Linked DNA regions of Struthio camelus. The protein of the gene in region 2 interacts with the protein of the main gene of each other region in a pairwise test. Links are inferred from orthologs where the notes say so. Each region holds a gene or a part of one and is shown on either strand. Other genes may lie near its edges.

The links.
Region 1: the proteins of CPSF7 (region 2) and ARMC7 interact in binary tests that used the Homo sapiens proteins (3 or more experiments, as listed by UniProt). The two-hybrid records come from large-scale screens. The link is inferred for Struthio camelus from reciprocal best matches to the Homo sapiens genes CPSF7 and ARMC7.

What each region holds. Positions count from the first base shown.
Region 1 is NC_090960.1:8,165,131-8,172,243, forward strand, and holds ARMC7 (armadillo repeat-containing protein 7), read left to right. Parts: upstream 1-4,111; 5' UTR 4,112-4,233; coding exon 4,234-4,300; intron 4,301-4,394; coding exon 4,395-4,538; intron 4,539-5,822; coding exon 5,823-6,160; 3' UTR 6,161-6,688; downstream 6,689-7,113. UniProt on the Homo sapiens protein: As a component of the minor spliceosome, involved in the splicing of U12-type introns in pre-mRNAs.
Region 2 is NC_090946.1:4,000,294-4,007,284, reverse strand, and holds the start of CPSF7 (cleavage and polyadenylation specificity factor subunit 7), read left to right. Parts: upstream 1-3,991; 5' UTR 3,992-4,048; intron 4,049-4,176; exon of another isoform or gene 4,177-4,210; intron 4,211-4,996; 5' UTR 4,997-5,061; coding exon 5,062-5,115; intron 5,116-6,991. Other genes in the region: SDHAF2 (succinate dehydrogenase assembly factor 2, mitochondrial), read right to left, coding at 1,020-1,246, 3,798-3,830.

The DNA of each region.
Region 1 (7,113 bases), on a different chromosome or scaffold from region 2:
TGAACAGCTTGCTGCTGCCAAAAGGGGGAAAGCTACCTCCCTGCTCTCCTGGGCTACAGCTCTCCTCTCCTACCTCTGTCTTTAGCCTGAATTGCAAGCCGCCTCGAGCAGCAGCTTTGAAGGGGCCGTGCATACTGAGCGTGCTACGGTATAATAAGCATTCCCTCTCAGAGCTATAGCACAGAAATATTAACACCCCATGCTTAAGAATCATGAGGCCCACAGGAAACAAAAAGGAATAAAAGTTCCTTGCCATAGTTTAAGGTACTCCCATTATGCAAGGCAACCACACCTTAATTACTGCCACCCCCCTAAAGCAGTTTTCCCCAACACTTACAGACAGTAAAATAATATGGGCTTTTGCTAGGGACAAACACCAAAACCTCAGCCAGGTTAGAAACCTCTGAGAACGGGCAGAGCAAGAAGAATAGCCCAGAAATAAACATCCCTCTCCCAGTCCCCACCGACCCCTCCCTGCTGCCTTTGCTCATAAAAGCAGTCTCCTTCACTTTACAAGCTAAGCATTTTTGCAACAGGCACCTTTCCTTATCGCAAGGAAACGTTCACCAGCAAGTTCACGCTGAAATAGTTCAAGACTGGGATCTTTATACATCTCAGATACTTAGCCAGCATCAGTCTTAGGGAAGCGTGATGAAAACAAGGAAGAGTCCTGGTCAGCTTACGCACTGCAATGCGCCTCAGAGCACAAAACTGCTTAGCTGAAGAGCTTGTCACACTGCTGGAAGACTTTGCTAGTAATGGCTAAATAACTGCTAGAAATGAAAACTTACTGTGTTCTAGCTTTGTCATGCCATCAGGTGGGAGCTGCCGTCCCTGGAAAGAAGGGCCCGGGAGGCTGCGAACACCTCACTTTCATTAGTTCATTCACTGCTAAGTCTCCCGGCAAACAGCAGGGGCTGGAAGCATTCAGACCATTTAGCGTTATAGCCGATAGTGCCTGAGCAAACAGCCAGAGGAAGAGCATTACACACTCACCTCAGCCCCTTCTGCCAGCTGCCAAGTGATCTTTTCGGAGCATCCGGACAAACTCTCGGCAGCGAAGCAGCACCAAGACAACAAGCACGCAGCCCATAACGAAGCACGCCACCTTAACAGTACTAGCGTGCTCTGCAACCCGGCAGTAACGCCTACAGAAAAGCTCTGAGGACTGCAAAGCCAGGCAACTTGATCCAACTCTCCTCCAGGAGGCAGCTCCACCACATCAACTTAAATGCAGCCTGTTCCGCCCAGCTCTTAATCAGCTGTGATTAAACTCAAAGAGAGACAAAGGCTCCAGGGAGCAGAGCTAGTCATTCTCAGAAAGACAGCCAGAGGTGCGCCTCTGCTCCCGATGACGTCTTGCCACACACCAAAGAGCGTGCCCTGGAGAGTACCTTTTTCAGGGATGCCTCACCTGAAAACTCAGCCAGCATAGACAAAAGCCTGCTCTAAACACTACTCTCTCTCTGAAACCACGCTGGGCGACCGAGGTCCTCCTGCTTCTAGGCGTGCAAAATCGAACTGACTGACCACATCCACAGGGCTGGTGAATATAAGGCATTTCATCCTTCCTCTGGAAAAACTCCATTTTGCACTCCCCCCCCCCCAGTCAATCCCAGAGTCCTCAAGCCCTTGTCTTTACGCTAGCTAGTTCCCCTCTACTTGCTTTCTCTTCTCCTCCTGCTTGCCCACAGCAGTCATTCGCCTCGTATGTAATGACACGTGTGGCTTTAAAGGATGGCAACACTGAGGCACTTGCAAAAGCCTCCGCTAGAAAAGATTGGCTATGACATGAGCAAACCACGCTAGCCTAGCAATAGGTTGTAGTACTGAACGCTTGCCTGAGCATTTGCAGACATGCATAGACATACACACACGCTCCAACTGACACCGCGTAGAACAGCTGAAGTTGCCAGCACAGGACAGGCCTAAACATTCACATCAGGTAGAAATACCGTCGCTGGGCCGGGGGGGGGGGGGCAGCCGCACCTCGCCGAGGGCAGCAGACAGGGCCGGGGCACCGAGCAGAATGGGAGTGATGAGGGGCAGCGAGAGGAGAAGGTGCTGGGGGGGGGCAGGTGCGTGTGGCACAGCATGCTGCAGGTTTTATCACACAGTGGCCCAAAAACATTTGGCTGCAAAATAATTCTTAACTCAGGAAGCCATAGACAGTCTTTTCCCACATCACGCTTTTTCTGAATACCAATAAGCATACAGAAAAGGAGTGAGGTCCCTGCTGTTGTAAAACTTCATGGTTCTCCAGCCCTTCTACACTTTGCAACAGCTGCTCGCTGTTGCGCCTTTCAGTAGCACGTGTTAGAGCTCCTAAAAGCTTGTCCAGCCCACAGAGAAGCGGTCAAAAAGCTTACCCTAGGCCATGGTCCCCTCTGGAGGACACTTAGCCCCTTGTTTACAGAGCTCCGGTGTTTCGTGCGCTGATAGATCATCTCAATGCATTCATCTATGCTTATTAGGTTAAGCTGAAAACCAATCAAGGAACAAATGTTAAAAGATCTATGCATTTAACCGAGGGGAGGAAGTCTCTCTTGGGACACTCAGTCAAGAAACAGGGAACTAGGTGCAGAGGAAAAGAATTACCGCCTCCGCCAACCCTGCACGCTTGGCACGAGCAGTGACGTTGGAGAGCTGGGAACTCAGCTGTCTGTTCAGAAACCAACATGCTTTATTCATTGTCTACAAGATGGGGAGTTTGTCCCTTTGAACCTTCAGTCACCTGACGCTCTCCACAATTCAAAGTGCGCTTATACCAACTGATGGTATCTGTTTGAGGTCAAGGAAATATCTGGAGAGGAAAAGTCCCCGTTTGTGACTTCTGTTCCAAACCAACACGTGCTTCCGTTCGGAAAGCACAGCTCCGCGTTTCCCCAGACTGGGAGCGGCGACACAGACGCGCAGGGAGCTTGTGAAGAACGTTGTCTCAACACATTGCATTGCAAGAGGGATCAGCATGTGCTCCGCACCTGCCTGGCACGCGGGCCGCCCGGGATCGGCCCAGGAGCCACCCGCAGCAGCACCCATCGTGCCCCTCTGCCCCGGATCCTGCCTCGCGCCACTTCTCACGCCCCACTTCTGCCATCGCACCCCCAGCCCCATGGCACCCTGCAGCCACGTCTCAACTCCCGCTGCTTATTACCATAAGGCAATGAACCGAGACCTTTATCTCCTCCTGCTCTTCTCCCTGCTGCAGCAGTCGGCCCCGTGTTCTTGCCCGCCTGTATTCCCCGTATGGCCCGTGGTGGACACACGTCCCCGGGGGATGCTGAGATGGAGTCGGAAGCGGATCGCTCTAACTGGTTCATCATTTGCTGCGCTCGCTTGCCAAGAAGCCGGTCGGCATCGTCACGGCCTGGGGGAACGGTCCAGCGTTTAACACTCAACAGCACTTATTACAGCTAACTGTGGAGAACCTGGAAGGACACGGAAACGAGCAGGGCGGAAAACCGTAAGTCTGGGAGCAGACAGCGAGCAGCTGAGGGAAGCGCGGGTCCCTTCCAGGACGCAGAAAGGAGCTTCCAAGACTGAGCGTCGCGGGCGGGAGGGCCGGGGCCGGGGCCGAGCGGCGGCTCGTCGCCGGTCTGGCTGCCATGGAGGACGGTCCCCTCGGGCTGCCGCCCGGAGCCCAGGGCAGGAGCCGCTCCCGCCACCCCGCCGTCGGGCCGGGCCGGGCCGGGCCGAGCCGAGCCGAGCGGCAGCCGCCGCCGCCGCCGAGGGCGCGATCCCCGCCAGAGCGGCTGCCCCCCGCCGCCGCCGCAGCCGCCGCTCGGCCCCGGGCACCGCTCCCGCCGCCGCCGCCGCCGCCGGAGGGCGCCAACGGCCGCCGGGGGGGCGCCAACGGCCGCCGCGCCTCGCGCCCGAGCTCGCCGCCGCCGCCGCCGCCGGGGCGCGCGCAGGGGCGGGGGGGAGGCGGGGCGCGTCGCTTCCTGTCGCCGCCGCCGCCCGCTCCCTCCCGTCGCCCCTCCCGGTCAGGCGGCGAAGCAGCGCGGCTCGGCGCAACCCGGCCCAGCCCGCGGCCCCCTCCGGCCCCTCTGTCCCTGCAGTGGCGCCAGGCAGAGGCGACCCCTTCGCCCCGCCCGGGGAGCGGCGCGGCGCGGCGCGGCGGCCATGTTGCGGCGGGCCGGGGCTGCGGGCGGCCGGTTGCGCTGAGGCGCGGGCGCCGCCGCCGCCGCTCTCCCCGCGCTGAGGGCTCCCGGCGGCGGCGGCCGCCCGGGCGGCATGGAGCTGGGCCGGCTGGAGTACCTGCAGGCCCTGGTCACCGAGTTCCAGGCCACCGACAGCCCAGGTGACGCCCCGGCGGCAGCGGGCGGCGGACAGCTCGCTCGGGACCGCCGAGCGCCGCCGCTCCGCCTTCACCTGCCGCTTCTCCCCCCTTGCAGACGCCAAGGAGCAGGTGCTGGCCAACCTGGCCAACTTCGCCTACGACCCCCACAACTACGAGCACCTCCGGCAGCTGCAGGTGCTGGATCTGTTCCTTGACGCGCTGGCCGAGGACAGCGAGAGCCTGGTGGAGTTCGCGATCGGTAAGGACGGCGGCGGGGCCAGGGCTGCCGGCTCGGCCCGGCCCGGCCCGGCCCCTCGGAAGCTCAAGCAACATGTGGCTGCTTGTGCTGCTTGGGGTGCTGCAAGGGACCGGGCTGCAGCCCTAAAGCCTTGTTTAGAGGGGAGCGAACGGCAGCTTCCCCCCCCCCCCACCACCCCACCCCGAAGTTCAGTATAGTTGCAGCACTTAAAAAAAAGATTGTTTTCTGTAAAGCAGGTTTTTTTATGCTAGAAGAAAACACTGGCTGAATGACTTCTTACCCAAATCTCTCCTATACGGAGACGGTCACTGAGAGGGAATTTGTGCCCTGCGTAAGGCACAGATGCAGTGTTTCCACCCTAGTGCTGACAGCCAGTCTGCCAGAACGCTTGTCGGGAGTAATCCGGCGAGCCCTCCGAGGAGTCCCTGACACCGAGTCATCGTGCCCTGCATACAGGGAACGGGGCCGGATCCTCACTGGGAGTGACTCCGTGAGACGTTAAATACGCTCTGTTTTTAAGGTTTGTTGACTGAGCTACACCAGGATATGCCTGCACCTTAAAGTCTCAAGTACTAATATTGTAGGCCTCTCGACTAATATTAGTCTCTCTGTTCTCTGGTTTTGTAAAACATCTGCCATATACTGCTGGATTGTAGCCACGTCTAGGGTCAAGTGATAAAGGTATTTTTCATTCTGTGGAAGACGTTATGTCCAGAGGCACAGTGCCCTCTAATGACATACTGGAGAAGGAGTGTTCTAGTGGAAAATCTCCAGGAAGAATCAAGAAAACTTAGCGCAGGAGCACTTAGCACTTTTCCATCCAGATCTCACAGCCAATCTGGCTGCTTATTTCCGTACTGGAAAACGGGGATCAGCAAAATTGGCATCACTGCGCAATTGCATTTAGGTAAATAATTTCCATTACGACACTGAGTTAGAAAAAAGAGGTTATTTAAGATGATTAAAATCCCATTTTGTAATTCTCAACATCTTTAAGATTTAGCACGTTTACCTCTTATTGCTCAGGAGAAATATTTTTCTGTGTCAGTTTATAAAAAGAAGGAAAGATGAAGTTGGCACAATTGTTTAAACAAAAATAAGGAGAGGAAACGTGAAATGTGTACCAAGTTATGTGCATTACAGAGATTTAATTGTGGTAGTTTCAACTGTAAGAAAGAGTAAAGGTTCCTAGTTGTAGCAGTGGACTTAAATCTTCGAAAAAGGTGAGGGAGTAGAGAAGAGCGTCTTGCGTGCATCAGAACGTTCTCTTCTGCTGTGTTTCAGGTGGTCTTTGTAACCTCTGTCTGGATAAAACTAACAAAGACTACATCTTGGAGGCGAATGGGGTAGAGCCCATAATAAACTGCCTGTCCAGCTCCAATGAGGAGACAGTGATGTCGGCAGTCACAACGCTGATGTACCTGACAACGCCGCAGTCGCGCCAGCAGACCACAGCTCTCCCAGTGGTGGAGTGCATGCTTCGCTTCTCTCTCTCGGCCAGCAGAAGGCTAAGCAATCTGGCAACTGTCTTCCTTGAGGATTACTGCACACCTCTCCAAGTGGAAGAGGCCAGGAATCTAAGCAAACACACAGCAGTGGGGATTCCTCTCCCTAAGGACTGAAACTGCCCAGAGCAGCTTGGCGCTCTTACGAGGGAGGTTTCCCTCTTAACATCCCAGCCTTCCAATTTCTGCTCAGCAGGTCAAGAGTGTGCCGAGAGCAACTTTAAACAGGGAAGATGGTCAGACCAGCGCTGGATTTTAGTATTAATACAAAGGAAGGCACAGTGCTACAATGTGAATCAGTCTAGACATGAAACTTAAAAAAATAAAATAAAAAAATAAAACAGGTCATGGCTGTTGGAGAGCGGGCTGCCAAGTGCAGGCCAGCACCCAGCTTGCGCAAATAACCCTTCCCAGCAATTAGCCTTTTCTGCGCAGGTTATTGGGCAGCTTACATCCCCTTTGGTTCCTCACTATACAGAACAGATCATAACTGTGCTACATAACAGGAAGTGGAAAGTTCTATTTCTTTCATTGTCACTGGTGAAAAAGGTGAAGATTTAAAAAAAAAAAATAAGGCTCATGGCAGTCTGGCTCACAAGAACAGCTGTCTTGTAAAACCTACTCTTAATAAAACATTAGCTTAAATGCTGTGTAAACAGTTTTGTATAAGAACATAAATGTTTTTCTGCAGCGCTTGCAACCCAGCCTTCACCTACACTCATTAATGCACGTGGGCCAGAAACTGAAGCCAGCTTGGTCTCCTTTCATTATCAGCCAATGACGCAAAAAGCAACCCAAAAGCCAGGGTGACTAAATACATAAAATTTAAAACGTTTGGCTGTTGGACGCCGTGCTCCCTAAGCAGACACGCTGTGTCTGCTCAAGTTTCACAGCCTTAGTACTTTTTTTTCCCTCCTTTCTGCCCTCCCCCATATGCCCATTCAGCTCAAGATGTGGGAGTGAGCTTAAAAAACACCAAAACAATGTCTTTGGCAGTTTCTACTCATCTACACCAATCAAACACCAGTAACAACTCTACAGAGATTAACTAGTTTAATACAGAGCAACTT
Region 2 (6,991 bases):
AACATGAGCAAGGGTGACTGCAGGAAGAGCCGGGCTGGCACGCTGATCCTGACACTGCCTGGTGCCCAGCTCTCTAAATGCTGCAAGAAGACATAGAGGAGCTGAATCCAAGGTGACCTGTCTTCTGCCTTAAGTCCTAGCCTGCTCTCCAGCCATTAACCACTTCTTTAGTCCTGCAGTCCAAGAGGCCTTAGCCCTGCTGAACTGGCTAATGAACTTCACTAAACCCCTGCTGGAACCCAGAAGCTTTCAGCGGTGCTCACTTTCTGTGAGGTTCTGAGCTCAAAGAGCTACCTCCAGCCTCGGAGAGCACGGGAAAAAATTCCTTTTATCACTGCCTTCAATCTCACACTGCTCCTTTGGTACTCGTGACACAGAAGGCGAGACACTCCCCTCCCCTGCCCTATTCCTATATCCCAGATCTAGCATACATCCTTCCCAAAGGAATTTGACTCGATCTACCGCTAGGAGGAGCTTCCTCTAGACATCTCCTGCCTCAGGCGGCCTCTAGTTCTGTCCCATCCTACCCTGCAGCAGTGCTAATCACTGCACCGCAGACCTGTACAGGTGATGCTCTCACAGCGGTTCACCTGACTGCTCACAAGCAGAGCCTCAGATACTTGCTTTCCATCCCCTTAGCAATGTTGCATCTCATTAGGTTTTAGATTATGGCTGTGCACTAGTGCACCTCCAGCTCTTCCCTGTTAATTAAAAACCTGTAACTTCTTTAGGGAGCTGAACTATACGGCAGCTACCTCTTGGCCAGCCTTTCTCACTTCCTCCCTGATCTCTCTGGTGTGGCTAGTGTTGGCACTGTCTCTTCTGCAAACTATGCTCCATCCCTGCCTACTCCCATCTGCAGCGGACAAACGAGCACTGTCAGGGCATAGCAACCCAGACGTCCTGACGCAGGGGAGGCAGATGAAGCTGCAAGAGGCTTGCTGAAAAGCTGGGAGGGAACGGGGCTCAGGGCGTGCGTGCTGCAGCTCCGGTGGGAGGACAAGCACCCGGCACCTCACCTGAGCAGAATGCAGTTCTCCAGCATGCCCCTCTTCCTGCTCTCATACAGCAGTCGGGCTCGCTTGGTCTCCAGCGGCTCATCGGGGCGCTCCTGCCAGGGTGGTAAGGGGATCTCTAGGATGTCCTTCCCCGAGTCCGTGGGGGAGTCTCCGCGATAGCCGCACTGCACAGACACGTGCCCCAAAACAGGCCGGCAGAGCACCCGTCCGGACAGCGAGCAGAGCTGCTGGAGGGGACACAGACAGCGCAAGCGTCATACCCTGACGTGCAGCAGACTTCAGGCCTGTCTGCCCTCATGCAGTGGAGTCAGGGAGACTCCCCAGCCCAGACAAGGCCCCCCCAGGACCTGCTGCCCCCTCAGCCCAGGCACGGCACCCCCAGGCCCCCCAGGCCAGACACGGCCCCCCCAAGCCCTGCTGCCCCCCCAACCCAGACACAGCTCCCCAGGCCCTGCTGCCCCCCCCAGCCCAGACACGGCTCCCCAGGCCCTGCTGTCCCCCCCCCCAGCGCTGACAAAGCCCCCCCAGACCCTCCAGCCCAGACACAGCTCCTCAGACCCTGCTGTCCCCCCCCAACCCAGGCACAGCCCCCCGGGCCCTGCTGCCCCCCCAGCCCAGACACGGCCCCCCGGGCCCTGCTGTCCCCCCCCAGCCCAGACACGGCCCCCCGGGCCCTGCTGTCCCCCCCCAGCCCAGACACGGCCCCCCGGGCCCTGCTGTCCCCCCCCAACCCAGACACGGCCCCCCGGGCCCTGCTGCCCCCCCCCAGCCCAGACACAGCTCCTCAGACCCTGCTGCCCCCCCCAGCCCAGACAAGGCCCCCCCCCAGGCCCCCCAGCCCAGACACAGCTCCTCAGACCCTGCTGCCCCCCGCAGCCCAGACACGGCCCCCCCAGGCCCCCCAGCCCAGACATGGCTCCTCAGACCCTGCTGCCCCCCGCAGCCCAGACACGGCCCCCCGGGCCCCCCAGCCCAGACACAGCTCCTCAGACCCTGCTGCCCCCCCAGCCCAGACACAGCCCCCCCAGGCCCCCCAGCCCAGACACGGCTCCTCAGACCCTGCTGCCCCCCCAGCCCAGACACAGCCCCCCAGGCCCCCCAGCCCAGACATGGCTCCTCAGACCCTGCTGCCCCCCCAGCCCAGACACGGCCCCCCCAGGCCCCCCAGCCCAGACACGGCTCCTCAGACCCTGCTGCCCCCCCCAGCCCAGACACAGCCCCCCCAGGCCCCCCCAGCCCAGACACGGCTCCTCAGACCCTGCTGCCCCCTCAGCCCAGACACAGCCCCCCAGGCCCTGCTGTCCCCCCCCCAGCCCAGACACGGCCCCCCGGGCCCTGCTGTCGCCCCCCAGCCCAGACACGGCCCCCCGGGCCCTGCTGCCCCCCCCAGCCCAGACAAGGCCCCCCCCCAGGCCCCCCAGCCCAGACACAGCTCCTCAGACCCTGCTGCCCCCCGCAGCCCAGACACGGCCCCCCCAGGCCCCCCAGCCCAGACATGGCTCCTCAGACCCTGCTGCCCCCCTCAGCCCAGACACGGCCCCCCCAGGCCCCCCAGCCCAGACACAGCTCCTCAGACCTTGCTGCCCCCCCAGCCCAGACACAGCCCCCCCAGGCCCCCCAGCCCAGACACAGCTCCTCAGACCCTGCTGCCCCCCCAGCCCAGACACAGCCCCCCAGGCCCCCCAGCCCAGACATGGCTCCTCAGACCCTGCTGCCCCCCCAGCCCAGACACGGCCCCCCGGGCCCTGCTGTCCCCCCCCCAACCCAGACACGGCCCCCCGGGCCCTGCTGTCCCCCCCCAACCCAGACACGGCCCCCCGGGCCCTGCTGCCCCCCCCAGCCCAGACACAGCTCCTCAGACCCTGCTGCCCCCCCCAGCCCAGACAAGGCCCCCCCCCAGGCCCCCCAGCCCAGACACAGCTCCTCAGACCCTGCTGCCCCCCGCAGCCCAGACACGGCCCCTCAGACCTTGCTGCCCCCCCAGCCCAGACACAGCCCCCCCAGGCCCCCCAGCCCAGACACGGCTCCTCAGACCCTGTTGCCCCCCCAGCCCAGACACGGCCCCCCAGGCCCCCCAGCCCAGACATGGCTCCTCAGACCCTGCTGCCCCCCCAGCCCAGACACGGCCCCCCCAGGCCCCCCAGCCCAGACACGGCTCCTCAGACCCTGCTGCCCCCCCCAGCCCAGACACAGCCCCCCCAGGCCCCCCAGCCCAGACACGGCTCCTCAGACCCTGCTGCCCCCTCAGCCCAGACACAGCCCCCCAGGCCCTGCTGTCCCCCCCCCAGCCCAGACATGGCCCCCCGGGCCCTGCTGTCCCCCCCCAGCCCAGACACGGCCCCCCGGGCCCTGCTGTCCCCCCCCAACCCAGACACGGCCCCCCGGGCCCTGCTGCCCCCCCCAGCCCAGACACAGCTCCTCAGACCCTGCTGCCCCCCTCAGCCCAGACACGGCCCCCCCAGGCCCCCCAGCCCAGACACGGCTCCTCAGACCCTGCTGCCCCCTCAGCCCAGACACAGCCCCCCAGGCCCTGCTGTCCCCCCCCCAGCCCAGACACGGCCCCCCCAGGCCCCCCAGCCCAGACACGGCTCCTCAGACCCTGCTGCCCCCCCAGCCCAGACACGGCCCCCCCAGGTTCCCCAGGCCCTGCTGGCCCCGGACCCTCCTCGATCCCTCTGGCTCCATCCCTCTCAGCTGCCCCCCAGCTGCTCCCACAAGGTCACCGCCCCTCACCTCCCAAGCCCAGCCCAGCCCTGCCCCAGGCCACCCCCAGGTCACCGTCACCCTGGCCACGGCCATGGCTCTCAGCATCCCGCCTGGCCGCCGCCGCCCCGCGGAGCCGCTCTGCGAAGCGGGGCAGCCCAGCTCTATGGCCCGGCGGCGCGCGTCGACGCGAGCTACGGGGGGGGGCGGCCGGGCGGGAGGGCCGGAAGGGGCGGGGCCGCCGCCGGAAGGGGCGGGGCGGCGGCGGTGGCGCGGCGGCGGCGGCGGCGGCGGCGGCGGCGGCGGAGGCAGTGGCAGTGGCAGTGGTGAGCGCGGGCGGCGCGCGCGCGCGCTGGGGCCTGCTCGCCAGGCGGGGCCGCGCGCGGTAACGGGCGGGGCGGGGCGGGGCCGCGTCAGGGCCGAGGCGGGGGGGGGCCCGGCCGCCGCCGCCGCCGCCGCCGCCGCCGCCGCCGGGGACGGGAGGGGAGGTAGGGCGCGACCGGCCGCTTCCTTCCCCTCCCCCCGCCGTTGGGGCAGGGGCGGGGCGGGGGGCCGGGGGGCGGTAGCGCTGTCCCGGGGCGGTTTGAGGACTGCTCCCCGGGGGGTGTTTCGGGGGAGCGGGTCACTGTCCGCCGGGACGGGGTTAGTCCGGGGCCGGGAGGAGGTGGTGGCCCCCTCCCTCCCCCGGGGGGGGGGGGTGCTGTCCGCGGAGAGGGGTCCGGGCTGGGGGGCGGGCGTTGGGTGCCCCCACCGGGGGGGGTACGATCCGCTTCCCGGGGATGGGTCCAGAGCGGGGGTTTTGGGGGGGGATTATTGGGGATGTAGGGTGGGGGGGCTGGTGTGCTTATCACTCTCGGTGTTGAAACAAGGGGGGGGTGAGATGGCCCCAGGGGACGAATCTGGGCTTGGGGGAGGGGGTCACGCTGCCCTCAGGATGAAGGAAATAGGGTGATGTTGCCCCCGGGGCTTGGTCTTGATTTGGGGGATTGGGGTGACGTTGGCCCCAGGGACTGGATCTTGGCTAGGGGGTTGGGATGAGCTGGCCCCCCAGGGGCGACCCGTGGCTAGGGGGTGTGCTGTCCCCGGGCACGGGCTTCTCTAGGAGAGGAGGAGTTGGTGTTGGCCCTGGGCACGGCGCGGCTGGTGCCTGCCGGGAGAAAAAGCCTAAAACCCTATTGGTAGTGGCGGTGGGGCAAGGGGATGCGGGGGGGGGGGGGCGCGCAGGAGGTTTCCAGCGCTAAGGTGATCCCCCTCCCCTCCGTCGCCCGCTGCAGTGCACCTTTGGTCTTCCTGCCTCGCCCCGGTCCCCTCCTGGGTTCTCGGTCCTGTCTCTGGAAATATGTCCGAGGGAGTGGATCTGATTGATATCTACGCCGACGAAGAGTTCAATCAGGTGAGCGGGGCACCAGGCCATGGCGCCGCCCCGTGCTGGGACCACTGTGGTGGGGGGGGGGAGAGGGAGGGCGGGCAGCTGCTTGAGCAGCTCACCCTTTTTTGGGGGGAAGAGCACGTTAACCAGAGTTGGCCAGCTCACTGGCAAGACGCTTAAAGCGGTTGGTGTTAGTGTGTGTGTACTTATTGAGCACAGGCAGAAGAAGTGGCTTGTGTGGGAGGAATACAGTGGGACAGCATTGAAGAGTCCCTCTGGGAAACTAAGGACTGGGACTGTCATCAAATCACGGCAGCTGTGATTTTGAGCCATGAATAAAATGTGGTTTCTATAGGTTTTGCAGGGGATTCAATACATGGATGGTTACAAAATATTCAGGCAGTTGGGAGGGTTGAGAAGGAGGCAGGGTTTCCACCAAAACATTTACCGAGCTGTTGGTGACTGGGGATCAAAGTGGATAGTCGTGACCTGCTGTGGCTGGAGAAATAAGACGTCTAGACTAGAAGAGAGCTGCACCGAATATCTGTGAGAGGACTGCGTAGCAAGGGAGTTTGAAAGCACTGAACCTTGCGGGCCTGCAGATGTGCATGCTGGGTGGTGAGCTCTCTGGGGAAGCGCTGCGTGGAGACCTGCACGGTAACTCAAGATGGTCGGAGAGCTGCTGGTTGCAGGTCATCTGCCTCAGGTGCCGGGGGCCGAGACTGCCAGAGACCTGCCGAAAGAAATGGTGGAGAATGTGTGTGCGCAGCCTCTAGAGAAGCAGATTTTAGAGAGTTCAGAGATCTGGACAACTGAGGAGAGTGGGTGTGCCTGCACATCTTGGAAGATTGAAAACTGCCATGGAAAGACCATGGAGGAAAGTTGGTCCTTACTGGATGGCAAGCTGCAAGAACTAGAAGCAAAGCACAAGAAGGAATTGCCAGTTGGCTAGAGCTCCCAGAGGGCTGAAGAGGAGTCGAGGGCAATAAATCCTTTGTTCTGAAAGGCGGGAGGTTATCAAGAGAGAATATGCCTTAAGTTAAACATTCAGGGAAAAGTGAAACATCAGAAAAGCGTGTTAATTGCCTCAGAGATGAGAGAGAACTGAGAGATGCTTTCAGCTGTCTGGGAAGAAGCAGGAGTTCCCCACTGAAAGCAATTACATTAGAGAAGGGCAAAGTCAAATCTGGTCCTAACGTTGCCAGAATAATGGAAATCTCACTGCAAAAGTGAGTTGCAAAATAAATACGCAGTGTTTGCGCTGCCTATAGCTGCAGGCTGCCCTGCACAAGTATCCTCAAGCTCTGAAATACTTCTCCCTTCAGACCTGGGTGGTTCTGCAAAACTCTTCGAAGTCAGATCCCCCATGTGTTACACAATCTAAGACTACAATGCGACCGGATTGAACTATTTTGGGTTAGAAATAGTCTTAATTTGCATGTTGCCTTGCAAAAAGCTTTTAACAGTCAGAATCAGGAAAGTATACCTGGACTTGGGAGGCAGAAGGTAGAGTTAAACAGTTGAAGGAATAAAGATGGAAGGTCTGGAAAAAGGAAACATGTGGAGGTTGCTGGGCTGGAATTTAGAAATACATTAAACGCAAAATAACCAGCAACCATCATTTATGACAATTACCTTAAATGCCAAAGGAAAACAGTGAAAGAGCTGGAGGAAAATAAATAATATATCTTCATCTGCAGAAGGAGAAATGTGGCGTCGGCAGGTGTGATCTGGAAAGTCTCTGAACGTCTTGGAGGGTAACTGATGAAGAGCAAACAGGTGGGAGGGCTTAAAAGGAAAATTACTGTCACACTGCTGGTTTTCCACTTAGATGGTCAAATGCTGCCTGTCCTGCCTGTGCATTCAGGCTGGCTTGGCAGAGAAGGCTCATGTGCTGGAA